Linked DNA regions of Alligator mississippiensis. The main gene of each other region encodes a partner of the protein of the gene in region 3 in a complex. Links are inferred from orthologs where the notes say so. Each region holds a gene or a part of one and is shown on either strand. Other genes may lie near its edges.

Region 1 (7,279 bases), on a different chromosome or scaffold from region 3:
GAAATAATGGCCACAAGCTAGCAGAGAGCAGATTTAGACTGGACATCAGAAGAACTTCTTCACAGTTAGAGTGGCCAAGGTCTGGAACGAGCTCCCAAGGGAGGTGGTGCTCTCCCCTACCCTGGGGGTCTTCAAGAGGAGGTTAGATAAGCATCTAGCTGGGGTCATCTAGACCCAGCACTCTTTCCTGCCTATGCAGGGGTTCGGACTCGATGGTCTATTGAGGTCCCTTCCGACCCTAACATCTATGAATCTATAAGGTCCATGTGACACGACAGTTAGAATACCAGGTGCTTGCGGCCCTATCCAAAGTAACACTGTCACTATAATAACCATAGGTGGAGCTTCAACAGTGGGAACAGTTAGGGGAGGAGGGGCGATGAGAGTACATGCAGATAGGCCCTGAGAGAAACTCACTCAGGGTGAGGCTTTTTCCTTCCATAATTTTCTAACACTGCCAAAGCATTTCTACCACTCACTTCCACTGGATACTGTTCTTGGATTTCTTCTCAATGAGCCCAATGCCCTCCAGTACGTTGGTGATGTCATAGATTCGCCGTTTCTGCCGCACTGCCAAGGTATCTGCTGCCTGTGGAAAAATCAAAGATGGACAATCGGTTCCAGACTCCTTCTTATGCTCCATCCTTTCGCCAGGCCTGGACATCATACCAGTACAGATCAGGCTCTATGATTCTGGTGGCATCTGTCTCCCACCTCAAGTTGCAAATTAGATTGTGTGTCAAGGGACATGAAACCAGTCACTGATCTACTCTCTGACTGCTAATTATATCTTCCCTGCAATTCAGTCTTCAACCCAAATCCCCTATTAATCACAAACTAAATCCTAACCATCTCCCCAATCTCATCTGGTTCTGATGCAGACTGGACAACCTCCTGACAGCAGAGTCATACTAAGAGAGAGTAGGATTAAATGCTCAATTCTACAGGAACTTTGTGAGGTGACCTTCCAATTTAATGTACACTCTACTGGAATGGCAAAACCTTGAGGTTAAGAGGAGGAAACAGGGAGGTGAAAAAGCTGGAGGAAGAAAACACTGACACTAATCCTGCACTGTCAGGAACAGGTCTGGATATTCCAACAGGTCTTTTCTATCTAAATGTCACAAGTCTTGGTATAAAGTGCCAATACCTCTCCTTCATATAAGTTACTAGTATCTCTTAAATGAAGGTTGCTCAACCAATATTACAAAACGCCATCCCTTGGCCCTCAAAATTTCAGCCACCATGCCTCACTTTTTTTTTTTTTTTGAGGAAAAGGAAGGTTGTGAGGAGGGGACTCATGTAGTACTTGATGTCTCCAGATTTGTTTAGCACACTTCTGAGGCAGTGTCTCACCCCTCAAACCTAGGACCCAGTCTCCTCACAAAACTCTAATTAGCAGAACTGATTTGTTAATAAGGTCTGCTCACACACAAAACACATATTCTCTTCCATTCTCTCAACAAACCTCTGGATGCCCATCAATTTGCTCCAGTTCCCATCCAAAATAATCCTGCAAAAATGGGACTGAAATTGGTGTCACACTAGCACAGAAGTTACAGATTTGCAACAACAAAACTGGCACCAACACTCTAGGTGATACTATACATGCACAGGTCACTGAAGAGTTTTCATGTCGAGTCAGCTCTCCATGGCAGTGCCAATCATTAGTTCAAGTAATGCTGACAAACAAGAGTCCCATTTGCAAGCCATTTTTTAGACAAAGCAAGCATACCTTTTTTTGACAAAATCCAAATGACTTTGCTTTGTATGCAATAGCAAGAAGTGGATTCTATGGGTCCTTTCCACTCCTGTATTTCTATAATGCCTCTTGTATCTGACTGGATCTATATGAAATGGATCACCAGCAGGAATACAGATCCACACACACAACATGAGCATAAAATACACGTGTAAACACATTTTCAAGTGTGGACAAGGCTTGGGTTTAAACATTGGCTATAGTACAGAGTCCACGCTGCTTTCTTTAAAAAACAATGATCTCCAGTCAACACCTAGGCCAATTCTCTTCTCCCTGAGCCACCACAAATGCCACAGAGCACAAGGTGAAAATGATTTGCCTATAGTTTATGGAAGTGATAGGTTTGGCCCCGTCTGAATGGCTGTTTTAGCTCCGAGGACCAGAAAACAATAAAGAACAATACTTTTCTCTCAAGGGCTCTGAACAATATATTACATCACTCTATTTTCATTTCTTCTGTGTGCAAGAGATCACTAGGGGAAGACAACCAGGATTTGGGCTGTGGTATGAAAGTGATATAGAATACAACTACATCTGATTCACGGTATTATCTGTGTTCAAGGCACTCAGCTTTCATGCTCTCTCGCCAAGACTACAGCTTGAAGGAAACCAAGATGACTGAACATGAACCAACACTGACTGAGATAGTGATGCAGGGTTGGAGGAAGCAGTCAACACAGCAGAGATGATACCTGCCCTCTCTGACTGAGGTCTGTCCTAAACTCAGGAGTTCTGCTGCATCTGTAGCCACTCTCAGACCCGAAATAAATTACTTTTCTCTGAATACAGCAAGCCAACTGCAGCTTTTCCAGATGCACTTTCCATTTCAGACACTCCTTCATGGGATCTTAAGAAGCTGCCAAGCCTCCCAGATGGCAGAGATCACACCTGCTACTTACAGCACCGACTGCAGCACAATAAGATACCGGCAAGACTCACCCCAGTGCCCACAGTGCCGCTGCCCAGACAAGAAGCGCCAGCAGGAGAAGCAGTTCTCAAGACTGAGCGCTCTGCATTAGCTCTCTGAACAGCGACGTAACCAGGCAGCTGGATGCACTTACCCGTGGCCACTGTGCTGGGTACAGGGCCTCACACCTATGCTCTGGGAGAGGGAAGACAGGCAGCTATCCGCAGCCCCCCACCTCCCTCCCTCCCTGCAGCAGCTCAATGAAGTAGCTGCCAAAGGCAAAGATGGCAGACCTCAGCGAGGCAGACGTGCACCTTACAGGCCAGCAGACGACGGCAGAGAGAGCCCACCAGCTCCTGTGCCTGGCGCTGGCCCAGGGGCCGCCCCGCAGGTGTGAAGTGGAGCGAGACTGGGCGGGGCCAGCGCGGAGGAAACGCAGCGGGCGCTGCAGCACGAGCCGAGGCTGCCGCCGTCCCCCAGCCCGGCCGCGGCTCCCCTGCGCGGCCGCTGCCCCCGCCCCCGCCCCCGGCCCGGCCCCGTCGCCAGGCGCCGCGCGGGCGCTGGCACTGAGCGGCCCCGGGACACCCCCGCCAGCCGGCCCGGCCCGGCCCGGCCCGGCCCGGCCCGGCCCCGCACCAGCTTGAGGTCGAGCACGCCGTCCTTGGCCTCCTGCAGCAGCGACACGAACTTGGTGGTGAGCAGCCCCAGGCTCTTCTCGTGCCGGCTCGGGGCGCCCCCCGGGGGCTGCGGCCCGGCCTCCGCCATCTCCCCGGCCCGGCGGCCCCGCGCCGCTTCCGCTTCCGGCCGCCGGGCACGACGGGAAACGCCGGCCGGGGGGAGCGGGGCCGGGGGCCGGGCCCAGCCCCGCGCCTCGGGGGCCTCCCGGGCAGGTGGGCGCTCCCCCCCCCCGTGTTGTGCAGACGTGTCTCCGCGCGCCCAGGGCAGGCCCAGCACTGCCTCGCTGGTGCCACGCGGCTGCGCGCCTGGCGGGAGGGTCGTGGCTGGCGGCGGCGGCGGCCGGCCTGTGCGGTGCGCGCTCGCCGCCTCGGCTCGTGGCAACTGCCGGCCTCGGGGGCGCCGGCGGCACTTGGCAGTGCGCGGAGCGGCAGGGCAGGGGAGGGCGCAGCCTCGTCTTGAGTCACAGTCGTCCTTTCTGAGACCGGCCCGTCCCGTCCCGTCCCGGTAGCTTGGGGGCGAATGGCACCCCAGCGCTTTGTCCCCATGAAAAATGCAGCCAGGAGGCAGGTGGGTCTGGATCAACATCGTGGTGGGTTGGCTTATGTCCTTTGGCACAAGCCCTAAATATACAACAGCTACAAACATAAAATCTGAGCTTTAGTTTTCTTTTGGAAATTTTGCATATTTTTTCCTTTTCTGTATGTGTTACATGAAGCATCTCTCACAAATTCATGGGAAAGGTACAATTTCCAAGAGCTACATTCTGATTTATATAACAGTACAGCACAAAACCAATGCATCGCCCAGTAAACAGACTAGAAACTGGCTCACTGATAGGCCTCAGAAATGAACTGTGGGGTGGCCATCAAGGGACCTCAAGAATAGAGGACAGTTTCATTTAGTGCATAGGGATTTTTTTAAAACTAAATTTAGTGCTAATTCATAATAACCACATCTATAGAAGCTACCAAAAAGTTAAATGTTCGAGTGTTCAGTTTGTGTTTTTTTGACACAATGTGATGATATACAGCTCCGTTTCCTGGGCTGCTGACATCGATATCACAGGGTACAGGATGTGTGATGTTCACCCTTTCTGCTTTTCGCTATGAAATCACATTCTTTTGACCATTCTGAATTGAAGGTCGTCTTGGACATTTTGAATTAAGGGTGATGTCAAACTGATTTTGAAGACAAACATTTAACGGCAGGAAGCAACAGCTGTAACGTAAGGACGTCATTAGGAAGCATGACAAATAGGATCTTTGTTGGCATTCTCAGGTCCGATACAAACACGGGATTGATTAAATGTCAAACATATTGACGAATGAAGACAAGCCATCTTAAGTTCAATTGTGGGTTGAAAGGTTGAGTGTCTCCAGAGAAAAATAGAGGACATCAAGGCATCTGGTTTCATATCACTAGAGGACAGAGAACAGAGTAGCAGAAAACCAGACTGTCCTCTATAAAACCGGATGAATGGCTACCCTAGTTAAAGGGGAATGGGTGATCTGGCTTTAGTCTACCAGTAATCAGTATTTTCAGTAATGATTTAGAAGAAAGTCTGTAATCATGGAGTATTGAAGCTTGTAGGTGACATGGAGGAGCGTGCAGTGGTTAATACTGATGAGGAGAGGCCACAAAGGTCAGCACAAAGAAATCTGCTGATATAGAGCTGTCAGAATGGGATTTTTATGACTTTTCAATGCCAGCAAAAGCTTTAGTGTAGATGCAGGTGTATTAGCATACAAGTGCTTTTGCTGGTATGGATTTCACTCAAGGAACTAGTATAGGCTATACCAGTGGTGCTCAACCTTTTCCCCCTGTTAGTCGGATGGGCAGCGTCCTGTCCACCTGCAGGCTGGATCCCGCCAGTGGTCCTGATCTGGCACCAGGGTGGGTGGGTGCAGTGGGCACCATCCAGCCACGCGGAGGGGAGTTGGCGGGGGGGGGCAATGCAGCCACAACCTGGCCCTGAAGGGGAAAGAGGTATGGCTTGGCCCCATGAGGGGAGTGGGGTGGAAGGGTAGTGGCCCACCCCTAAACTGGTTTGGATGGGGAGGAGAGAGAGCATGGTCCAGTCCTGATCCAGATGTGGGGAAGGAGGCATGGCCCAGCAGCAACCAGCAGTGTAGGACTTGGGGTTTAGGAATTTGGTATGGGGAGGGTGACCATGTTAATGACCACTGCTTTCCTGGCACCAAATTTCCCACCCCATTGGGACTCCTGGGGGCAAGATATGATGGCTTGCAGGCTATATTTGGCCCATGGGTTGGAGATTGAGTAGCTTTGTAATGCATCTACATTTGCAACATGCTGTCATCTGATCCTTAATACTGATTTGCAAAAAAAGGCAATGAGATGGGGGCAGGAGGGACCCACACACTTTTTTGCATTAACTCTTTTTCAATTGGCCATGATGCTCTGGGCAAATGGGCTAACGCAATTCTTAGATGTATAAGCTGAAGGAAGGAGGTGGGATTAACTCTAGTTAAAAATAGGGTTCAAGTGAGCCACAACAATGATTGTTGAGTACTAGAACTTAGAAAACTCAGTGTATTTACTTGCCAAAGAAAGATGATGAAGAGGCAGCTTGATCTATAAGTACCTACATGAAGAAAGGCTTTCTGGTAGCAGAGAGCTCCTTAACCTAGCTAACAAAGGTAAAATGAAATCCAGTGACTTGTAGTGAAGCCAAATGAATTCAGAGTAAAAATACTGTATGCATTTTAATAGTATGAATGATTAATAACACATAATTATTTTAATAGATTAGAACTCTTTGCCAGGAATGTGCTAGGTTGTATATGACTTAAAAACTTCATTAAATGGACATTCATTGTCTTTATAAGGGACGTGTTTCAGCCATAGATTTGCAGGCTAGGTACACGAATTACAGAACAAAAAACCTTTACCTTTTGTTATACAGGAGATCAAACAAGATGGTTCTAGTGGTCCTTTCTGGTCTAACAACTCCTAGATCTGATTGGGTTTATATGTTTCAAATAAAATTGCACCTTAAAGTATGATAAACAAGCTTTGATGCCAAGTGAAAACTGTGAAAGCTTGTCCAGACCTACAAATGACATTTAAATGACCAAATTAAAACAACAGTGCATCTTGCACAAGAATGCAAGATTGTGACTGGGACCATGCAAAATAAAGCAATCCCATTTGATTTAATTTCTTGTGCTAGTTGCAAATGTACCCAATGTTTTATTATGCTAAACCACTCATAAATAACTGTATATTCCTATGTGACTATATCCTCCTTGCTGACACATTCTCCCTGGATTAAGGCATATTTGTCAGAACAGTTATTCAGTGTTTGTTTGGAGTTTTGCAAATGTCTCCATAAACCATCACCAACTTAGACTATTTTGGGTTCTGCCCTATTGTTAAAATAACTACCCAAAACACTGTTCTGTGATCAGTTCTACAAGGTATCTTGTTCAGTCAATCAAGACCCATCCTATTTGATTGAAGTGTAACCTCTGGACTGATCAAAAGTTTGGAAAAATAAGTTTCACAACTAGACGACCCAAAACAGGATCTGAGCAGTTAGTAATTGTAATGTGGTCCCTCCCTACCTGCTTTGTTTGAACTTTAATTTACTAACTATCAAGAAGGAATGCTTTGAAGCTATACAGTTAAATTGTATAAGAATGAAAGAGAGTTGCTGGCAAAAGTGTGCACTTCAGGAGAGAGAGAAAAATCTCTGCAACATTGTAATGTGCACCCAGCCCGATTGAACCCCCGGCCCAGCGCATTAGGCAGGACCCTGGGATACGTGGAGTCCAGATCCCAAGCAGCAGCAAAGAAGAGACCAGGATCCTGGTGTACACGGATGACCTGAACATCCTGTGCCACAATAAGTGGTCAGTAGAAAGAGCCCTGTGGCGCGCACAGGTTTATGAAGTGGTAGCAGGGACCAA
Region 2 (7,588 bases), on a different chromosome or scaffold from region 3:
AATTAAACCAAAAGCTTGTTTCTGACGACTGAAAGTTAGTGCGTGTGTGTACGTAGTCTGTGTGGACATCCGCAAGAGAATGTATGCAACTCACAGGTGCATATTAAGCATACAGGCATGTTTGGTGAATATTGATGTACTGGGAAAGAGCCTCTTTCAGGTGTTGGCTCTATATTCTGTGAATGCATGAAGATGAACGTGTTGGGTGCATCTATGTGGGAACTTGCACATATACAGGAATGTGCCCATGTATGGGATGCATATCTGCAGATGCTGCATCTTCTGTCTGAGTATGGTATCCTCTACTTTGACTGGCTCCCTTTAGAAATAGGGCTGACCTTCTCTACCCTACCCCTTTGTTCATATATACCTCTATCATGTCCTAGTGTAGGTTTCATCTCTGTTAGCTGAACAATTCTAATTGTTTAAGATTTCTCCTCATATTAATTTTTCCATGCATCTAATTACTTTTATTGCCCCTCTAGATATTTTTACTTCCTTGGTATTTTTTCAAATAAAAGCAACAAGAATTTGAACCTCGTACAACAGTGACAGCATTACCGTGGAAGTTTATAATTGAATTATTTATATATGGTATTATTCTCAGCCTTGGGGTCATGACAGTTCTTCAGCAAGGGGTTGCACCATGCCCCCCTTGAAAAATCATGTGAATCACAGATTCTAAGTGCCATAGAAACTCGGTGCCATACTGGGTCAGACCAGTCCAGCCCACCTGAGCACCTGTGCCATGGTCCAAGTTTCACTGGATGGCATTCACTAGCTCCTTGGACTTGTTTGAGGACCGGCAAGCGCTGGCTGCTGTACTCTGATCAGTGTTCTCCCCTTGGAATACACACTATAAACCTGTGACTCATACTCTAGTCCATGTTCCACTTTAGTTGTCCTAAGTTATCAGTTGCTTTGCCTCTACTGGCCTCCCTGATTAATGGAGGCTTTGAGTTCCCTTGGTGGGCCCAGGCTAATGTTTCTCTGGGCATAACAAATAGACCTGTCTGTGACAGCACCAGGAGCAGCAAATGCTTTAGAGCAGGACTGTCCAACTGGTGGCCTGCGACCTGTGGGAGGGTAAATTGCAGCCCCTAGGCTCCCCCTGTCCAGTTAACTGTTCTGGATGCTACTGCGGCCAGGGTCTCCAGATTCCTCCTTCTTCTCTGGCCTTCACTTCCTCCTGCTGCCCCAGGGTGCAGGACAGCATGACTCAGAGCATCTGGCTGACAGCATGCCTTCAATGCTGAGGGAACATGCACAACAGGGGAGCATACAGCCAAAGACATTAGGGGCAGGGGGCCACCCACCTGCTTGTGCAAGCAATAGCAGCTGGGGACAAGAGAATATCTGTCCACTTATAGAGTGCAACAGGCAGGAAGCTGTCTGTCATAATGGTGCCAAGGGAGTTTGTAGCTAGGGAAGTTAGGGGAGGCCATGGCCCTTATGGTATGCAGCGTGGCCCCCAGCCAATAAGCTGGACAGCCCCGCTTTAGAGGGAGGACATATGAACAGTGTATATCTATCATGATCTCTCTATCATGCCTGCTCTGGCATCCACCATCATTGGGTTAGAGGTGCCAGAGGATACATCCCCAGCTCTTCTGTTTAAGATATTAATGGATCTGTAATCCATGAATTTGTCTAGTTCATTTCTGAAACTTTAAAAGCCAATATAAATGTTTGTGCATCATAATGCCTAGAAGTGATTTGAAAAAAAACAAAACAAAAATCAAACAAAAAAACCCAAACAAACCAATATTAAGTAGTTGTTTTCATTGGTTTGTAAAAAAAGAAAGTCGGGCCTCTCTTTCCTGCCTGGTTACCATTTATTTAGAGCCACCCATCTGCCAAAGCAGTTCAAGCAATTATGGGCACTGTGTCCTCCTTGCACTGCTCTGCACTGGTCTTAATGTACGGATTGGTTCCCCAGGTGCTTCATAGATGAGGGGCTGGAAGGGACCTCATGAGATCGAGTCCAGCCCCATCTGACATAGGCGGAAAGTCTGCTGGGGTCTTCTTCCGATGACATTACACTATTTCCCTTCAGGCCTTTTGCTTGTGACGAAGAGAAGTTTCCATCACAATCCTTATGCAACATTCCTGATGTCCTTTATGTGCTGCTCACTCCAACCTTACGCTCCTCCACCACATCGGCTACATTTTTGAGGTGTAACACCACTTTGTGTCATTTCTCAATCAACGAAGTCATTTTCCTTCCAGTCCTGCTTCTTTTTTGGTGGCGGCATCCACACACAGCACTGCCCACCTGGAGATGCCGACCTGCCTTTCAGTCTATTTTTGTTTGCTCAGGCTGCACCAAAAGTGGTGTCCGGTCAGCATGTGGTGCCCGCACCAATTTCTACACCTGGTCACCTGTACAGCAAAATGTCTATACAGACTAGAGGGTAGGGGAAAGAGGGTCTTAACTTTTTTCTTCTGAGGCTCAAGATCCCCCTTTGCAAAATGCCAGCTTATCTTACAATCTTCCCCTCCCCCTGAGGGCAGACAAACACCAGCATCACCCGACTGTGGCAAAGAGTCAGTGGAGCCTGCGCAGGTAGGGACACCCCACATCCTTAATGTGAACCTCTGGATTTGTCCCCAAATCACCCCCCAAACAAAACGAGCACAGCAGGGCACCCCACAGCACCGGGGAAAGGACCCCTGGGCACCCAGGGGTGCCACAGCCCTGGGTGCAGACAGGGCAGGGATGGGCACAGGAACGTAGCACGGGGGGGGAGGAGGCCGCGTCCAGCCCCGCTCACAGCAGCCCCAGCCCCCGCTGCCTCACCCCTGCCCGGCGGGGGCATCTGCGGTCCTGGTCCCCCGCCGCGCCGGGCGCTGTCAGGGCCCCGCAGGGCAGCGGGTCCCGGCCCCCCCCATGCCGCGGGCAGGGGCCAGGACAGGGGCAGGGGCAGGGGCAGCCCCGGCCAGAGGAGAGGGGAAGGGGAAGGGGAAGGGGACAGGCCGGAGCGGAGGGGAGCAGGCAGGGCCGGCGGCGAGGGGCCCAGGCAGGCACTCACTCTCGTCCGGCAGCTGATCGAGCTCCGCCATCTTGAACGAGCCGCGCCGCTTTTTCAAAGGCTGCCTGGCGCGGGGCATTGTGGGGCGGCGGCGGTAGGCGGGGCCTGCGCGCGGCGCTGAGCTGACTGGGGCGGCGGCGGCGGCGCGCGGGACGAGCGCGCGGGGCGGGGCCGGGCCCCCGGGCAGTGGTCTTCGGCTCCCCTGTGCTTCCCGTCTGTCCAGCGCGCGCTGAGGGAGCGGAGTGTACCGTTCGGGCCCGGGAGCCAGCCCCGGTCCGCTCCACACGGGCGCACATCCACGAGACCTCCACTCCTACACACACGACACCCCCCCCCCACCCACGAGCCCCCTACTCCTACACACATACCTGAGGCCCCCACTCTTAGAAAAACACCTATGGGACCCCCACTCACACACACACACACGGGACCCCCACTCCATACATGCTTAACCCATAGGACCCCCCCCACTCCTACATACACACCCCATGAGACCCTCCACTACCTACATGTGCACACCCATGAGACCCCTATTCCTACACACACCTCAGACCCCCACTTCCTTGCACACCCACTCCTATACACACATCTGAGACCCCCCACTTACCCATAGGACCCTTGCTGTTACACACACACCCACAAGACCCCCACTTCTATACAGGTATGCACCCACAAGACCCCCCACTCACACAAACACCCATGAGACCCCCGCTCCCTCCACACATACACCCACAAGACCCCGCTCCCTACACACAAACACACCCCCATGAGACCCTCACTCACACGCACCTGAGACCCCCACTCCTACACACGCCCACAAGACCCAAATTCACACACTAACAGTACATAACAAATAAGGATTATTATTACTAGGATGAGATTGGTAACAATGAGAATAACAACTATTAATAGTAATAATACTAAATAATAATAAAAAGTAAAGAGTGGTGATGAAAGAATAAAGCTCCAGTACATCTGTCATAAAGATTTTCCATTTCACAAGCCTTTCCCTCTAATAAACGAAGGGAACCAGTCAGCCAAGTCAGTTGCACTGAGGATCTCAATGGCTTGAGTGGAAAGGAAGCCTGGAAATTATTTCAGTCCGAGATGGTAAAACTGGCAGGGGTCTGTGTTCCCAAAGCCGCAGGGTGGCAGAAAGGCCTTGTAGGAAGGGACTTCAGCCCTAACTAAATGACAAGCTTACAAGTGCTGGAAGAAGAGAAGCTAGGAGACCAAGAAGCACAGGGTTAAAGTGAGAATCGCCCAAGTCAAGCAGAATTAGATTGACCGGAGTCAAATATAACAAAGAGCAAAACATTCTTCAATGACATAAAAGAGAAAAAGGAAAGTTTAGAGGGAGCCGCTAGGTCATGAGGATACACAGAAATTGAGGATGCTGTGTGCGTGAATCAAAGGCCAAAACAAAGTTAGATGTTCCTTCGATAAGGATGACCTTGTGGCAAAGGCAAGATAGATAAGAACGAGGGCATCAAAATGCAAATAACCTCAAATTAGATGGGAGCAAAAGTCAGAGTATAATGCAGGGGTAGGCAACCCCTGGTACACATGGTAGAATGTGGCACTCGAAGGCATTTTACTTGGCACGTGTGCCTCGGGGCCGACAGCGGGGAGCCGCAAGGGGCCTGATCCTTGTAGCAGGGAACCCCGGGCCCCTTCCCCCCTGTCCGTCTCAAAGTGCACATGCACCCACTGCCACCAACAAGCTGGGCCAGGGCTCTGTGGATCCCAGTGCAGGTGCTTGCAGTCTCCCTACCACCTGCTGCAAGCAGCCCAAACTCCATGGTTGGTGGCAGGGGCCTGCAGAGCGCAGGCTGGCTGTGGTAAGCAGCCAGGAGGCTGCAAGTGGCTGCATTAGGCTCTGCGGAGCCCCAGCCTGGATCACTGCTGGAGGCAGGTGCACACATGCCTTGGGGCAGATGGTGTGGAAGGGGCCCAAGGCAAGGGCTCCATGGCCACAACAAGGATCAGGCCCCTCGCAGTTCCCTGATGTCTGCCCCTGGCATGCCAACATCTTCCAAGACAAGGTTGTGGGGTTTTTTTACTCAAAATGTTGCTGATCCCTGGTTTAATGCATTCAAGCTGAGAAGACCTGGTAATTCCCAGAATTCTGAAAGAACTAGCCCATTAAATAATAGGTCCAGTAGAAAATTTTTGAATACGTCTACTAAGTTGGGTCTGGTACCATTTGATTAGAAAACAGCAAATATGGTACCTATAGTTGAAAGGAAATTTTAATTTGGGCAACTACTCTCCTATTAGTTTTAAAACAAATTTTAAGAGAAAGAGCAACCAAAGTGGATGGGAATGGAAAATAGGGTAAAATTCAACATGGGATTGCCAAAAATAGGTTATGTCAAAGTAACCTGACAGCTTTTTTTGATAACTGATTTTCTAGACAGATTAAATATATTTGATCTCATTTTATCTGTGCTTCAGTAAATGCTACAGTACTGCATGAAAAATTATTAGCGAAGCAGGAGAAAATAAGGATTAGGAGAAAAATTATGAGGTCAGCAAGGACCTAGATAAAGAAAACACTGGGTAACCCTAAGAAGGAAAATATCAGGCTGAAAGGAGTTTACCAATGGAGTTTCTAAAGGATCAATTTTGGGACTAATCTTGTTTGTATTTTAATTAATGATCCAGATATTTAAGTAAAAGTGTGGTGACTCCAAAGTGTAGGTTTCATAGTTTCATAGTTTCTAGGGTCAGAAGGGACCTGAACAGATCATCAAGTCCGACTCCCTGCCCTGGGCAGGAACGAGTGCTGGGATCATAATACCCCAGTGAGACATCTATCCAACCTCCTCTTGAAGACCCCCAAGGTAGGGAAGAGCACCACCTCCCTTGGGAGCCCATTCCAGAGCCTGGCAGCTCTAACCGTAAAGTAATGCCTCCTGATATCAAGCCTGAACCTGCTCCCAATCAATTTGTGGCCATTATTCCTTGTTAACCCAGGTGGTGCCCTGGGGAACAGAGCCTCACCTATTTTCTGCTGGTCCTCTCTGGTGAGTTATGGATAGCCACCAGATCCCATCTCAGTCTCCTCTTGTGGAGGCTGAATAGATTCAGGCCCTTTAGTCTATCTTCGTAGGGCCTGGCCTGCTGCCCCCACCCCCCCACGCGACCATGCAAGTGTCCTTCCTCTGGACCCTCTCAATACTAGCCACATCCTTCTTGAAGTGCAGCACCCAGAACTGGACACAGTACTCCAACTGCGGCCTGACCAACGCCACATAGAGAGGGAGGATCACCTCCCTGGACCTGCTTGTGATGCACCTGCAGATGCACGACAAGGTGCAGTTAGCCTTACTGATCGCTTCATTGCACTGGTGGCTGATGTCCATCCTGGAGTCAACAATGACTCCAAGTTCCCTTTCAGCCTCTGTGTTGACAAGAGGGGTGTTCCCCAGCCTACAGGTGTGTTTCTGGTTCCTTCTTCCTAGATGCAGCATCCTGAACTTGTCTGCGTTGAATTCCATCCTATTCTCATCCGCCCACCTCTGCAACCTGTCTAGATCTAGCTGGATTCTGTTCCTCCCCTCCAGTGTGCCCACTTCTCCCCACATCTTTGTGTCATCAATGAATTTGGACAGTGTGCTTTCCGTGTACACCTCCAAGTCACTGATAAAGATGTTGAATAGCACAGGCCTGAGGACTGAGCCCTGGGAAACTCAGGTCCAGAAGAGGACTAGAATATCTTACAGGAAGAACTGGATAACCTTGAGAATTGGAGTAACAGAAATGAAATACAATTCAGTAGTACAAAATGCAAGGTCACGTACTTGGGAACTAATAACAAAGTTCAGCTGGAAGCTAGGATCCTATCACTTGGGAACAACTGATGAGGACAACTTGGGTGTATTAGTTTGTCACAAAAATATTATGACCTGCCAATCTGATGCAACTATAAGGCAAATGCAATCCTAGAATGGATCGGTAAAGTTATTTCCAGTAGAGGTAAGGAAGCATTAGGGTTATTGTAAAAGAAACTAGGAAGATTTTGTCTGGAATATTCTACACAGTTCTGATTACCCATGTTCAAGAACGATGAATTCAAACTAGAACAGATGCAGAGAAGTGCTATTAGGATGATAAAGACAAGGGAGAGCATATTAGAGGAGACTAAGAGAGCTCAATTTGTTTGTCTAGCAGAACAAAGGCAGAAAAACTTGGAACACAAACAAGTGAGTATAAATTGGCAATGAATAAACCTAGGCTGAAATTAGAAGGTTCCTAAGAGTAGAGAGGTTTTGGAGCAGCTTCCAATCAGCCCCACCTCCCCCTGGCCCCCGGCACACATTTGAAAGATGGAAATTGGTAAATTTGTGGAGGGGACACCAACAGTTGACTGTGTGTGGCATCATCCATAGTAGACTAGTGAACTCTCCAGGAGTTCCCTTCCAGTATTTTATCCTAATTATAATATTTTGTCTGCAAGTAACCCTACAACACCTATGCCATTTAGTTCAGCAACCACAACTACTTGGTTAAACAAATCTCTCAGTATTCTTTTCTGTCTTGCAGTCACCATG
Region 3 (7,636 bases):
GCCTCCTGTTGCCTCAATGCTTTTCTTAACTGCTCTTCCCACTGCAATAGTGGTGGGGATAAATTTAAGACAATCCTTCAGTAATTGAATTGGACACATGGAATATTGTAACAAATTTATAATTTTTCCATGTATAGAATTTCTATGCATTATAATTACTGGGGAGTAAGATTTGGGTAAATATATGGTATTAATTTAATTTCGCTCATTCTCAATCATCTAAAAAAGTGGCCTTCCTTTAAATACTTTACACATTTGAATGGCTTTTATGGGTCAAGTTATTTAACGTGAGATTAACATTTATTTAGAAAGGCAACAAGACTAAAGCTTATCTGCATCTGAATTACAGCCAAGACACTGTGTACTCTGTGGGAAGCCTGACCAAAATTATGTAGCAACACCACATGTCACTTACTGTCTAGTACAGTGAAAGGAAGTTCTTAAGCATCTTTGGATTGTCTTAAAACAGATTTCTTCTTGAATGAAATATGAAAATAAATGCAATTGATCAAATTGTTATTTTAATATTAAACTCAGTATTTTTTCACTGGCCTACATCTTCAGTAGGCCACATATCTGCTCTTTTTAAAGACATAATAATACTATAATATAGTTTATGAAAAAAACTGGATGCGTTGGGAAGTAGACAGGAGTCAGCTGGAACTTGGCGCAAGGTAAACTGTCAAAAACAACAATGATTATGCAATAACCTGGAGAAAAATCTAGCACTGAGAAGAACCATACTTATGAATAAGCAATCATAGTTAGGTTTCAGAATGAGTATTTTTGAAATGCATGAAGTAGCTTGTATTTATTGAACACAAATGCTAGCTATGTGCAGATTCAGGAATATAATACTAGATCATTCACATCTAGTTAATACTTATAAGTCTTTCTATATACATATGCTAAAAGCCTTTTTTTTTTTTTTAATTAATATCTAGATTCCAGAAATGAATGACACTACAGAAGTTATTGAAAGGAGTAATTTCTACAGTATGCCTGTCACCATGGCCCTACTGATAATGGCTGCTACCAACTTCACACCTGAGAGTTCTATAAAGATGCATGTAGTTTACCAAGACCAATCTAGTGTTTACATTTCACAGAGAACAGCGTCATATTATATATATACACATATACACACACACACACACACACACGTGACCAAATTTTATGCATTTCTATATACAGTCCTTATGTCAGTCAGTCTCAAAAAACATAAATTGTACTGTTAGACTTGACTAACTGGAAAGGAACAGCAATATATTGAGTCCAAAAATATGCAATTTACATAAGTAAATGAGGGATTTTTTTAAAACAAAAATCTAATACAGATAGATGGTTTTCAATTACCCATACCATCTCAGTTCATGTTCAAGTGAACTATGATCACAGACATTTTTAACAAAGTGAAACAGTTTGAAATTAGACAGCTTTATCTGCAAGAGTAAGAGAGCAAGTTTGTTTTTTTTTAAACTAAGTTTAGTAGCCATAAGATTTAAAAAAAAAAAAAAGATTTAAGGCTTTATTCTTTGGCATCCCTTCTAGGCAGCTGAAAGCTATATAAAAAATGAAAAGGCTTTTGAAAAGGACTGAAATTATTTGAAAAAAAATCAAAAACAGCTTAATTGCACTAAATTTAATAAACCCCAACTGGAACAAGAAATTCATGTCACCTCCTTCAGCGAAGGTGCATCACTATGCACTAGTGATTCTCAGTCAGGACACAGCACAAACACCACAGAATGTCAGGTGTACACATCTGATTCACAACGTAGATCCAGAGTTTTCAAACAGGAATCCTCAGCGTTAAAAACTCTCTGACCTCTTCTGGTCTTTTTCGAGTTCTTTGCAACGGAAGAACTTGATCTGTTACCTTGCTATAATCAAACATTGACTGAAAACTAAGAGCTGACATTGTCTGAGGGTCAAGAAAGGTCGTGTGTGCACTCTCTCATATTATACATTCAAATACATTTTAACATACAACGTGTTTAAAAGAAGTCCACTTTTGGAGATGAAGAGAGAGTGAAAATTCAGTTATTACCACATTTGCCCAAATACAAGATGTGTGGGTGAGAGCGCACACAAGCACGCACAAGACTGTGTAAACCCAAGTTCACTTCAGTGAAAATTAATACCATATTTACCCAAATCTAAGACATACATGTTTGTCCAGTGAATGGGCCACAGGTAAAAGGAGAGGGGATGGAGAAGGTCCACATGAGACCAACAGAGATGACAGATGATGTGGGACATGTGCATACACGTGCGCATGCATGGTACATGACAGCGCAAGCTTTTGCAAGCCCAAGTTCACTTCAGTGAAACTTAATACCGTATTTATTTATTATATAACACCAGTCAAACTTAATGCCATATTTATCCACATCCAAGATGCAGGTGAAGGAGCAGGAGCTGGCTTTTGTTCACTTCATCAGATGCTGCCCGCCTCAATTTTAGGAGGCTGCACATGCTTTACTCTATCCGTGGTTCACACTGCATGGCCTGCAGCCTTGAAAGGACCTGAAAGCACCCCACCCGCGGCACCCGGGTGGACAGCCAGGGGCCTTCACACAGAGCATCATCGACCTCCAGGTTATCCAGCCAGAGTGAACCGCTGCCTCCCGCCAGGGACGGACTTGGAAGAGGAAGGAGCAGAAGGGCATGGAAGAAAGGCTGCGGGCAGGGCAGGGCCGGGCGGCGACCCCGGGGCGCACCACGCTGCCCACGGGGCAGACGGCAGGACACCAGGCGCCACCTCCGTGCAGGGGGTGCCCCACGGGCGGTGACAGGTGACGGGGGCGGGGCAGCGGCCACTCACCTGCGCGGTCTCTTAGCCATCCTTGAGGCGCACCATAGGGAGCCGGCGGGCGGGGGCCGCGGGGAGGCCGCGCCACCGGCAGCAGCACCTGTGGCGGGGTCGGCTGCCGCTGCCGCTCCCGCCCTCCTGGCGGCTGCGGGGCCGCTCCTAGCCCCGGCCCGGCCCGGCCCCCGTCGCCCGGGACATGGCTCGCCCGGCCCCCGCAGGTACCGCGCCGTGCCCGGCTCCCGCCGCCTCCTCGGCCTCGCCGCGCCGCCGCCCGCTGGGCTGGTCCGCGCCGCCGAATCTCGCGCCCAGCCTCGCTCCCGAGCTGCCGTTTGAATCTGCGCACGCGGACTGCACGCCCATTGGCTGCCGGCTCCGCACGCGATAGGGGCGGGGCGAGGCGCGCGCTCAGGCGGGGCGGGGCCAGCAGCGGACGGGCTGGCGCCAGAGTGGCCGCGCGGGCAGGCGCGTGGGGGCGGGGCGTGACATGACGGGGAGCGAGATTTCGCGCTGACAGGGCTGGGCTGGAAAAGAGCGGCGGCCGCGGCTGGTGCCACTGAGCATGCGCAGAGCCCAGTGCGTGGCCCACTGCGCTTGGTTTCCACCCACCTTCCCGCCTCGTGGGGCTGAGGCGGTTACTGGTGAGGTCCCGTCGCTGTAAAATGTGCCCGGCACAAAACCATGCGTCCGGCACAAAACCATGTCTCCTCCGAGCCGGAATCGAACCAGCGACCTAAGGATCCCTGTGGGTCTAGGCTGTACCTCTACAGTCCTCCGCTCTACCAGCTGAGCTATCGAAGGGACAGGCCTGCTAGATTGCCTGGCCCTTCTTTGTGCATCTGCTGCTGGGCTGGGGCTGCCTGCCACCCACTCTGGGCAAGGGGGGGGGGGGGGGGAGCAGGCAAGCAGCCACAGGTGTGTGTGACTATTGCTCCGATGGCAAAGGGAGCTGCCCGGTCTAGTCCTCACACAGCTGCCACGAGTGACAGGGCAATTCAATAAAGGCCCGTGATCAGAACCTGGGGATGGTGCAGTGCAGGGACAGGCTCCCACTTCTCTGGAGCTCACCTGCATTTTTGTCTTGAAGTTGGTTCCTTCTCCTGGCTTTTCATTCAAAGCTAATCTTGACACAATTCAAGGTTTTTAGCAATGAATTAAACCAGTGCTGAATTTAGGCTTAAACTACAGTTTAGGGCTTCACAACAGGAGGGGCTTCTAAATAAGAGTAAAAAACCCTGACTCAATATCAAGTTTTATAATAATCTTTTAGATTATTATAATTTAGATAAAGGAGATATGAGAAAATGACTGTCTAAATATAGACATTCTTGTTCTAATATGAAAAAATATACATTGGTTTATTTTTATCATATTGGGCCTCTTAAACTGGACATAGTTTAGGGCTTTAGCATGACATAATCTGGCACTGAATTACACGTGCAAAAAAGAATGTCAACAAAAACAGTATATTTACTAATAAAAATGTAAAATAATATTATGCATCAAGTATATTGTCCTGAACAGGAAGATGAGATTAGGCTGGGATTATGGGGCAAAATCCTTTCCAGTCACCCCAAACCACAAATCCCCGCAACTAGGAGAAGCCTGGGCAGGCCCCTGCCTGATCCAAAGGTCGGTTTTTGCTTGCCATAGATCTCAGTGGAAACAGGCCACATTCCTCCCTCCTGTACTTGCAACCCAGAGTGGGCACTACCAAGTAAAAGACTAGCTAGCAAAACAGAATTGAACTGATATTTTCTGTGGTCTAAAATGAGAAATGAAACAGTGTTGATTATAATAGATGCATTCCAGATGAATTACTACCTCTGTAGTGAGTCCCCTACTCACCTTTTTTCCCCCTTCCCTTCCCTGCTTTACCCAATTTCTAACTATTTCCATTCTCACTGACATCCTACCATACTTTTTTTAGCTTCTTTCATTCCTTGGACTATCAGAACAGGAGAGACTCCTTATGCCTGAAGAAGGGCAATTACACCCGAAAGCTTGCCAAGAATTTTTTTCCAACTACTCCATTGTTCTAATAAAATCTATCACATCTATTCAAAGAGCCTTGCCTGCCTTTGTCTAATCCAGTGGTTTTCAACCTGTGGTCTGCAGATCCCTGGGGGTCTAGAGACTATGTCTAAGGGCTCCATGAAAGATGACTATGATGAATCAAAAGTATGTGAATACCCAGACTTACAATTCAAAGGGGTCCATACCTCCATTCAAATTTTTTTAGGGATCTGCAAAAGAATAAAGGTTGAAAACCACTAGTCTAATCACACCTGTCAGGCTTTTTTAATCATGTTAAACTGCTGGCACCTACCATAAACACTTTACACGTTAGGAAAACCTTTAGCTCACAGGATACTAGAAGGCTGAAGTGGAATTTGTGCACTTACGTCCGAAGCTGCGAGAAGCCCCACACAGCTGCCATCTAACCCTGAAGGCCTACGAACTCCATAGACACTGCAGTTTGTTATCTTAAAGTCTCCTGGCACCTGCAAGTTCTTCCTAAGCACCTCAGTTTTGCAAGGGCTGAGCAGCTAAGCACCCAGCTCAACCTGATCAAGATCTGACTAGGCATTCTTTGGTCTAAATGCCCCAAGGCTCAGTCCTGCAGGTATTCTCAAAGCACACCTGACACACTTGAGTGAATCCATCACTTCACAGGACACATTAGCTGCCACCATTTCCTTTCACACATATCTAAAAGAGGTGTTAATAGTGCCCCCCCACCACCACCACCTTGTATGCTATAACCTACTGATCTGATCAGTTAAGTAGGCTGAGGGAAAATGCAATTAATTTCTTCTCTACCTGAGGAAGATCCATAACACATCTCTCCCTGGAAAGTGCTCCAACTAAAAACTGAAGGCAATTCTAGGGTAGGAAGACTTTTCACTCCTTTTCTTGAAGCTGTGCCCCACTGTGCAGAAAAGAATTCAAGATTAAGTAAGAAAGAGAAGAGGAAGCATGACATTGTGAGCCTTGTAGTTATGGCACCAGAGACAATCCGAGCAGGGTGTGGGGCCTGGCCCCCAAATGCAAGGAAGCCGGCAGCAGATTTGGCAGGGGCGGGGGGTGGCAAGCTGCCAAACATGAAGCCAGCAGTAGCACGGAATCACCTTGACCACTCCACCCGGCTTCATAGGGCCCTCCAAAGTGCGGGGCTTGGAGCATTTGCTCCGATTCACCCCCTCTAGGGATGGTTCCGTATGGCACTTAGCTGGAAAGGGAGAGTCCTGAATTATGGTGCCTACTCCCAAAACTATTTTGTATTTGTCACTACACCAGTCATTAGATAAATGGTTCTGGGCATGGGGGTAGCTGCAAGGTGAGGGCCCTGGTCTACTGTCACATTCCTCAGTAATGCCCTCTCTTTTTAATCCATTGAATTTTGAAGCTACACCACTCCGCAGAAAATAGTTCAACAGGAGGTGGGGGTGTGCCAGCATTCAGAATACTTGGCAGCCTGATGTTCTGCTCTCTCCTGAACAGCAAGTTCATTTTGAACAGAAATCTCTCACTCCTTGGGTGACTCTAACCACTGTCACTGAATAAAAACAGAAAGGACACCATCTCCCTCTTCTGGCCACTTTGTAAAACAGTAAGCTCTGCTCAGCTCCTTGAAAAAGAAAATAGCAGAGGATTCTAGGTTGTGGATCTCTGGCGGATGATGACTCCTCACACCCTGAGTGAAGCATTTAAAGAGGCTTTAAGACTCTTTCCTGGACTTCGTAGTTCCTTTAGACAGATGGGAATAAAGGAAAAGGCAGGATCCCAGGAAAGTAAAACAAGACATTCATGAACGGAGACCGCCCACAGGCAGTGGCAGTGGTGTCAGAGGTGTGACAGTGGCGAGTGGGGAGCTCCTGCAGGCAGCTACGCCAGTGTTGGTGGCAAAGAGCGGGTAGCAAGCGCCAACCAGCGATCGGTGACCACCCGCAGATAGTGCCAGCAGCATTGGTGGCACTCAATGGCAATCAGCGACCACCCGCAGACACCGCCGGCAGTGTTGGGGGGGGCAGTGAGAGGCCACTGCCTGCAGGCACCGCCAGCAGTCAGTCTCAGCGGGTGCATCACCAATCTCAGGGAGTGCAGGTGCACTCATGTGCACCCCCTACACCAGGGCGGGCAATTATTTTGGGCAGAGGACCGCTTACTGAGTTTTGGCAAGCCATCGAGGGCTGCATGATAGGCAGCCAGGGGCTGATAAATATTAATTTTCTGAATTTTTTCGGGGCCCCACAGGCCAGATAGATGGCCTGGCGGGCCGCATCCAGCCCCTGGGCTGCATTTTGTGCACCCCTGCCCTACACGTTGCCAAGGAAGGCATTGCCCAAAAGTGTAGGCTCAGATCCTGCAAAAATAAATGCGCAGGCAGGGTGCATTTAAAGAATCATAATCCTACTGTGTGTATAGAACTAAGTATGTGCATAGCTCTTCTCAGTTTCTCTGTACTGGGACCTCAGGTTTTGTTTGTTCTATTTGTTTTTGGTGGTCAATACAACATAACTCCTTGACAGGCAAGCACTGAATGTTGTATTGACCACCTCAGACCTGCAAAGGTCAGGTTAGTTTAAACTGTGTAGATTGAACTGAGAAGCAAGTGAACAGACATTCACTTCTGATTCCAAAAATGCAGCCACATGCCTGCAGTGGCTCAGGCTAGAAGTCAAGGAGCACTAGTGCATGCCTCCTAGCCACTGCCAAAGGAAAGGGAGGAGAGAAGACCTGCAAGGCCTTCCCTGTCTCCCTACTTGAGCAGAGGGGCTATGGCCAGGCCCCAGCCTGGGGCCAGCATGCTGAGGCCAGGGG
Region 4 (7,860 bases), on a different chromosome or scaffold from region 3:
TTTTTCACAGGAAGGGAGGCACCGATTAAAAGAAACAAAAACTTTTTGGCAGTAGCATTAGTTTTTACAAGGAGTTTAGCAGAAAGTTCTTTCAGGTTCAGAACAGAACTAGAAATGCCATGCCAGAACAGTTGATAGCCCAATGACTAGGATTTATATTTGGGGATGTTGAAGATGTATTCAGAACCCTGTAGACAGCAGTGAATCCCATCAATTCCACACAGCTGCTGAGCAGAACTACCAACAGCAGCTGAGACAGACTGAGTTATTCAGATGAGGACCTCCCAGAAAACAAAGGGTAGGAATGAAATAGAATAGAGATTCTCTTCTCCTGTTTCTCATGGGCTGCTGAAACAAATTAAAACAACCCCCAGAAGTTCTTCTCTGTAGATATTTACATGGTTCCTGTCAGTATAATGTATTAATATTTGGGAAGAGCTAATAAATGCATTAACTCCAGCAGGGAAAGGTTAAGTGACCACCCTAAAGTCACACACACCTGAAACAAAACCAGGAGTTAAGGGCTACAAAGAGATCTGAATTTAACTCTGAGATGATCCTTCAACAGATAAAGATTAAATAGCTTGATGAAGCTCTTTCATAAACAGTGCAAGTCACATTCTAATCCAAGAACTGGAGCAAAAGACTGAGTCTGTTGTCAGAAACCAGGGACATCCTCCAGGTACAAATCCAAGAGTTTCTCTCTTTCCCAGCTTTCATGTCTACCCTTGGGCTAATAAGATTGGTAGAATTTTCAAGCACCATTTCAACTGCAACAGATATTAACCACTAATAAGGAAAAATTTTGATCAGTCTAAGCTGGTACGACAAACATGTTTAAGGGTTGAGAGGAAGTTACTGAAATTTGTTATAATGCAAGAATCGAAAATAGAGGGGGGAAATACTGACATCTGTAATATACGTAGTCAAACATAACTTTGATGGAGCAAAGTATTAAAGCCTAAAAAAATTAATGTATTATTCAAACAAACATCCCACCATTCTTGAACGCCCAGTTCCATTCCATTCTTAATGGGTTCATAGAATGCATTCATCACTATAGCATGTAAACACATTCTGGTAATGTTAAGCAATTTACCTAATAAGAGTCACTTGTTGCTAGTTCCTGTATCATGTTCAGCAGGAATTTGAACTCTCAAATAGTTCATTGTATCCTAAACAGTACTTATGAACATCACAGAGACCAACAGACTTAACATCTCTAATACTACTTGAGCCTGGACAGAAAGTTTTAACCCTCAATGTGTAAGATGACAAGAGAAAGCAGCATGCATTTCAGTGTTTTCCTCCTGTTCAGACTACTGTCTAGCAGCTGTTTCACGTGGCCTATAAGTGCAATTCCTCATGAAACTGCATCATTCCTGATGCCCCAAAACAAAAAGGTATTATTTCACATGCAGAGATATGCAGGCTCAAGGAAGAGTTCCACCTTTGAAAGAAAAACAAACAGTCAGAAATCCACATGTATCAAAGGATTCCAGATTGAAAGGATTCAGTTTGAAAATAAACACACACACACAAAAAACTTGCTTTCACCAAGGGCAAAGTCCATGCCAAGTATGACATTTTAGACATTATAAGGAAAATTTCCTTAAAAAATGACATGTAAAAGGCTTTCATTCAAAAGATATTTTCCAGAAAGTCACATAAATATCTGACAGTTTGGTCTCGGAGCCAACATGAGCTCTCACTTTTACTGTATAGTAGAAGTGTATTATAACACCCAACGCATTTCAGAAGCACAGAGTAACGCACAGATACAATGAGACCAAAGTACATTATAATCATGCTATCCTGTTTTGTTAGGGCTATAATTTGGAGCCTGATCCTGCAAAGTGCTGGGCAATGGGGAATTATGGGTGCTTAGCACTGCCGAGTCTTTGCCACACGCTGGAAACAGAGTTGAAACCTGGCTAGGTGCCATGTGCACAAAACCCAAGAATGCCACCTGTGATGCTGTGGATTAACAGCATACACTCAGCTCCCTACACAAGGGAAGCAATATAGCCAGTCCCTGCCAGCACCATACTTCCTACTCAAGAGGAGCCATACACCCAATCCCCATCAGGGTTTTTTTTGGGGGGGTAATTCAGTATATGTAGCTGGGCCCCCTACTCACTATGGCAAACTCACTTTACCTCCTTCTCCTTCTGAAGCCTGTTACCCCTGCAGAGCTACAGCCAGCCTCCAAAGGCAAGAAGAAGAGAAAAAAGACTGCCCTCTGATAAAAATACCAACCCATCCAGCAGGCTTCAACACAAGCCGCTGCTTAGCTTTACTCACCTGCCAGCAGGACAACGAGCAGCAGGAGGGGATGGGGCAAGTCGGAACAGGGCTTGAAAGACCCAATGCTCAATGGGAGCAGGGCACTGCCAGCAACCACCCTGCACCGAGGCAAAGCAGAGGCCCCCTGCCCCAGAGGCGGCGACGGGTACAAGGCACTGGGCCCAACACAAGTAGTGGCCCAGCCTGGGCCGCTAGCACCCCGGTTCCACGGCCCAGCCCGGCGCAGGCTCCTCCTGCCCGTTACTCTCGGTTGCAGTGAGGGGTCCCGGGCAGCGGCTGCTCCGTCAGGGCCCGGGACTGGATTTCGAAAGATCCGCCATTTTCACCTCGTCACCGCCGCCACCGCCCCGCCCCGGGCCTGGGGGCGGGGAGAGGGAGCCCGCCACAGCGGGCGGCGGCACAACAGCCCCCGCGCGCCCCCCCATGACCTTGATGAGGGTCGCAGGGAGAGAATTGGGGCGAGTGAGTGAGTGAGTGTCCCCACAACCGCCCGCTGTCCGGAGAGCGCAAGAGAGAAGCCGCCGGGGGGTGTCCCGGCACGGCGGAGCCGGGGCGGCTTCTCCTCGCCCTTCGCACCGGCCCTGGCGGGAGCCCAGAGCAACCTCCCGGCAGCGACGGAGCCAGAGCAGCCCGCAGCGCCCCCCAGCTCCGCACGGACGTGACAGCGGTGCAGCGCGCGGGACCCGACGCCGCTGCCCGCGGACGAGCGGCGCGGAGAGGCCGACAGCAGCCGCCTCGCCTCCAGGAGCCGCAGCTGGGCTCGACCCAGGGCAGGGAGGACCCGGGCCGGCCCCTGCAGCCCAATGCCGGGCGGGAAGCGGCTGCGTCGGCGGCGCACGTAGGCCGAGTTCTCCCTCCCCCCCGCGCTGCGCGTCCCCCACGGTCCTCCCGCGCTGTCACTCACCAGGCGGGCGCGGCCGCCCCGCCCCCGGCCCGCGCCGCGCCGCGCCCCCCCTGCCCCGTGCGGCGGCAGCACCAGGGACCGGCTCCGCGTTTGTTCAAAATCACGCGCCCCGCGCCATTCCACCGCCACATCCCATAATACTGAGCCGCGCCGCCCTGGCAACCGGCCCCGCGTCACCCAACCAGCGCGCACGCGCAGCCCCTGCCCCCTCCCACTCCCACTTCCCTTAAGCCTGGACGCTTCCTTCCGGCGGTGGCTGCTACTGCTGCTCTTGCTTCCAATACCTCCGGCCGCTTCCGGGCTCATGACGGCATCACGCTGGCACGTGACCTGATAGCGCCCGGCGGCTCCGGACTAAAGGCCAAGGCTACGCGCGGAGATGGGGGCGCGGAGGCGGTTGCGCATGCGCCCGGCGCGGTCCTGGGACGATTCCCCCCCCCCCCCGACCGGGCAGTGGGTTCAGGGCGGTGGGTGCGTTTCTCTCACGCAAGCACGTACTCGCTCTCCTCTCCTGTGGCTTGCTTGATCCTTGGTGCGTCTTGTGCTGTGGGCCCCCTCCTGGTCAGGTAGCCGGTGGTGTCAGCAAATGATGCCCTGGGGGCTAGTCCGGAAGATAAGCATCCCTGTAATGTTTGAGTACCCGCGGGTATGGCGTTCACTGACAAAGGGAGCATGGAAATCCGTATCTACAGGCCTAGGCAGACAAGATTCTTTGGATAAATCCCGTATCTTTTATTAGACCAACTCAAATAGTTGGACAAATTCTTCTTAGCACTCAGGCACAAACACCCTTCATCAGGCTGACAAAGCATCTGCAGATAGTCTGTTCTTCCTGGATGGAGTGGCCTATGGCTGCTTTACCACTCCATCCAGGAAGAGCACAGACCATCTGCAGGCACTTCCTCAGCCTGACAAAAGGTGTTTGTGCCTGAAAGCTTGTTAAGCAGAATTTTTCCAATTATTTGAGTTGGTCTAATATAAGATACATGGGATTTAGGCAGACAAAATTCTTTGGGTATGTCCTTAGACCAACAGCTACAACCTACACCCTTATTTACAGACAGGCTCAGAGTAGTCTATAGCAAGATAAAGTCTGTTGGGAAGGACAGCATGTAAATCCTATATACATTTATACATATATATGCATTTATATGTGCATCTATCTATCATGATTCATGCATGTGCGTGTGGATTTGTGTGCATATGTGGATTTGTGTGTTTAGATTGCATCTTTTATGTATTTAGAGATATATGCCAGGCTTGGCATTCAGCAGTGCCACTTGCAGCAGACAGGGCCAGGCTTGGTGCTTGGCTGGTGCAGCCCCATCCCATGAGCCCAGTGCTGTTTGCAGGGGATGAGGACAGGGACAGGGCTGCGCTTGGCTGTGGTGGCCATCCCCTGTGGCTGGGCTCCCCACTCACAGGGGATGAGGCAGTGCCAGCTGAGTGGTGAGCCCAGGCCAGCCCCTGTCCTGTGAGCATTGCCAGGCTCAAGTGACACCATGGGCTGCACCACAGGGGATGGGGCTGTGCCAGTAGAGCGATAAGCCTAGCCCCAATTCATACACTGTGCCTATGAAAATCCTTACCTTTCAGATCGGAAAGCCTTGCGTCAACCTACAGTGTGTTGGCCTATCCACCGTGAAATGCAGTAATTATTTTTGACACATGTCGCAGGGCACCTCGGTGCTCCTGCTCCTAAAGAGGAGAAACTGCCAGGGAGAGAGAGAGAACCCTGGCAGGACCTAAAGAGCCAGCTGCGGGTTACCGGGGCAACTAAGGGGAGCCAGCTGCCTGTAGGAGGCAGGGCCTGGCCCTTATAAACCCCAGGGCTAAGGCCAGGCTGGCAGTTCCCTGCTAGCAGTCAGAGGGGCAGAAGCTCCTGGAGCTAGGAGCTGAGCAATGTAGGAACTGCTCTAGCTGAGAGAAGGATGGCAGCTCTGAGAGGTTTGAGCACCATGGTTTAGCCAGGAGGCTTTATGTTTGAGTTATAGCCAGGAGGCTCGAGTTTATGTTCGGCTTTGATATTAAACCGGAGGTTTGGGTGAGGCTGTAAGGGTTGGAGGAGGCCTCATAGGGGTGGGGTGCCCCAGCGCCAGTTAGGGCGCAGTCTAGGGCCAAGAGGGTGCATTATCCTCATAGGGACCCCAGAGAGTGTGGGGACCCCAGCACCTGAGGAGGGCACAGTGTCCTCATAAAGGGCCCCATGGGAGTGTGGGGGCCCCAGTGCCTGAGTGAGGGCACAGTACTTTAAGGGGGAACCCCAGTGGTATGGGGACCCCAGCGCCAGTGAAGGCGCAACTGGCGGCAAGGAGCGCAACTAGTGGGTTGCAGGTGGGGAACAGAGACCCTGGGTTGTGTGCGGGGTACGTAGACCCCAGCCCCGGAGAGGGGCAGCTTTGAGAGGCCCCAGTGTGGGCATGACGAGCCCCAGAAGGGGGCACTGCTAGGAAGCCCTAGCGTAGATGTGGCGAGCCCCAGAAAGGGGGAGCGCACTCTAGAGGAGCCCAGCGTGGGCCCAGCGAGTCCCCGAGAAAGGGGGGGACTATTGAGAAGCCCAAGGTGGGCATGGCGAGCCCTGAAGAGGGGGAGTGCCATATTAGGAAGCCCAGGACGGGCACAGCAGACGCCAGCAAGGGCGTCACTTGCGGGGTGCATAGACCCCAGCCCCAGGGAGGGGCATTTTTAAGAGCCCAGGCTGGGTGTAGAGAGCCCCAAACAGGGGGCGGTATTAGTGAGGAGCCCAGAGGGGCACAGCGAGCCCCGGAGAGGGGGCGGTATTATTGAGGGGCCCAAGACAGGCGTAGTGAGCACGGCCGTAGGCTAGTGCGGCAACAGCCCTCAGACAGGGGCAGGGTGCTGCGATGGACCCCGACAGAAGGGGGTTAGTAGTACGATGCCCCAAGAGAAAGGCAAGGTGCTGCGGTGGTTCCCGGAGAAAGGGGATAGCAGTGCGGTGAGCCGGGATCAGAGAGGGTAGCTGTGCGGTTGGCCTAAAGGACCGGAGACCCGCTAGAGGGTCCCTGAGCAGGACCACACTTTTAGAGAAGGCCCAGAGTGGGTCTCAAGAGTCCCAGTGAGGGGCACTGTATTAGAGAGAGCCCAGGAAGGGGCACTAGTAGAGAAACACATGGAGAAGGCCCAAGAGTGGGCTAGATTACAGGAGAGGACCCGAGGAAGCAGGCGTGTATTGCGACCGGACAACGTCTTTCCCATCAGCGAGGCTTGAGGCGTTGGTATTAGGGGTGGTAGGAGCCACGCGTAGCCCATAAGGCTAGGGTGCCTGGGGAGCACCCATTACACCGGGAGACCCCCAGGGGGGGTCCAGGAACACACAAGGACAGAGGTCCCGAGTAGCTGTGCCCAGGGAGTCATAGGCAGCCTCCCAACTATATACAAACATCAAAGACGTGGCAGGCGAGAATTAGAGGGTGCCTTGGGCCGGCCTTGACATGGAGCGAGGGCCGTGATCTCCTCGAGGTCCCTCCTGCAGGACCCCACCATGACAACACACTACAAAACTTTATAACTCTTTTGAAATAGAAGTAAATGTCTAAGGTTGCAAAAGCAATCAAAGCTTGGCATGACCTGAGTGTCCTATCCTGCAAAAGTAAGACGGCTTTATTTTTTTAATGGAATACTAACTAAAATAATTTAAGCAAAGTGTCTCTAAGCATACTGGATTAAAATCTTTCTTTGAAGCATTTGCAAGTCAAGTGTTGCAAAAAGAGGGTTTTCTATTTGTGCAGGAAAATAAATGAAACCTCCTAGTTTTATTATCCCAGAAGAAAACCAGCTGCATGTGAACACACTTTAATGCAAATGTTTATACCTATTGGAATATTTGAAGTGGGTGTTCAGCATTTCCAGAAGGCAAATCATTTATAATTTAATACCTGGCTTCAAGCACCCATATTAGAACATGTTGGCCTGCAAACACTGTTGTTGTTATTGCTGTCATTTTTATTATTTTCCACAGGTTACATCTTTGGCATCCTTTTGTCTATGGCAGACAGTGGATATTGCAGCCTATGATGTAGCTGGTTTGCAGTGTCTCACGTGACTGAACAGTCCAATCTGAGATTTGTGTGATCTGTGGCAGCAGTTACAAATGTATATGTTATGGTTGGGTGGTTCGGGAGCTGCTTGCTTCCTACTGGCTCTTTTCTCTTCAAGTTGTTGGAGCCAATTTCTGTTGTGGACTTTGATGCCCTGGTGGAGACAACGATGCCACTTGTTCCCATCACTTGCCAAGGTTTCCTACTGGTCAGGATCAATTCCAAATGCCTTCATATCTCACTTGCATGTATCTTCGTAGCAAAGCTTGGGACCAGCACCGTATCTAGACACCTGGCAGCCCCAGGCAAACTTTTAGTATTGGGCCCCGCTTCACCAGAGATGATGATGATAACAATAAAAAAATTACCATGTCTAAGTCCCCAGTTTGCTGGTGCCTGTGTCCAGTCCCGCTTGCGACATCCTGCTATTCCTGTTCCCTCCAACAGTTCCCTGTATAGCATGATCTTGGGTGTGCGTCCATCTTCCAATCTGCTCAGATGGCCTACCCAGAGTAGTTATCTGTGTTTGAGCAGAGTTGTCACGCTTGGTAAACCAGCCACAGGTACTCGTCTGTAAGTGAGGCCAATTGG

The links.
Region 1: MYBL1 (region 3) and E2F4 share a complex: the UniProt entries of both Homo sapiens proteins name them as parts of the DREAM complex. The link is inferred for Alligator mississippiensis from reciprocal best matches to the Homo sapiens genes MYBL1 and E2F4.
Region 2: MYBL1 (region 3) and LIN9 share a complex: the UniProt entries of both Homo sapiens proteins name them as parts of the DREAM complex. The link is inferred for Alligator mississippiensis from reciprocal best matches to the Homo sapiens genes MYBL1 and LIN9.
Region 4: MYBL1 (region 3) and LIN54 share a complex: the UniProt entries of both Homo sapiens proteins name them as parts of the DREAM complex. The link is inferred for Alligator mississippiensis from reciprocal best matches to the Homo sapiens genes MYBL1 and LIN54.

Annotation. Positions count from the first base shown.
Region 1 is NC_081833.1:31,514,889-31,522,167, reverse strand, and holds the start of E2F4 (transcription factor E2F4), read right to left. Parts: upstream 3,435-7,279; coding exon 3,306-3,434; intron 590-3,305; coding exon 480-589; intron 1-479. UniProt on the Homo sapiens protein: Transcription activator that binds DNA cooperatively with DP proteins through the E2 recognition site, 5'-TTTC[CG]CGC-3' found in the promoter region of a number of genes whose products are involved in cell cycle regulation or in DNA replication.
Region 2 is NC_081824.1:179,696,525-179,704,112, reverse strand, and holds the start of LIN9 (protein lin-9 homolog), read right to left. Parts: upstream 3,140-7,588; 5' UTR 3,112-3,139; coding exon 3,033-3,111; intron 1-3,032. UniProt on the Homo sapiens protein: Acts as a tumor suppressor. Inhibits DNA synthesis. Its ability to inhibit oncogenic transformation is mediated through its association with RB1. Plays a role in the expression of genes required for the G1/S transition.
Region 3 is NC_081826.1:64,074,847-64,082,482, reverse strand, and holds the start of MYBL1 (myb-related protein A), read right to left. Parts: upstream 3,124-7,636; 5' UTR 2,848-3,123; coding exon 2,828-2,847; intron 1-2,827. UniProt on the Homo sapiens protein: Transcription factor that specifically recognizes the sequence 5'-YAAC[GT]G-3'.
Region 4 is NC_081825.1:146,549,183-146,557,042, forward strand, and holds the start of LIN54 (protein lin-54 homolog), read right to left. Parts: upstream 3,034-7,860; 5' UTR 2,305-3,033; intron 1-2,304. Other genes in the region: COPS4 (COP9 signalosome complex subunit 4), read left to right, coding at 3,591-3,682. UniProt on the Homo sapiens protein: Component of the DREAM complex, a multiprotein complex that can both act as a transcription activator or repressor depending on the context. In G0 phase, the complex binds to more than 800 promoters and is required for repression of E2F target genes.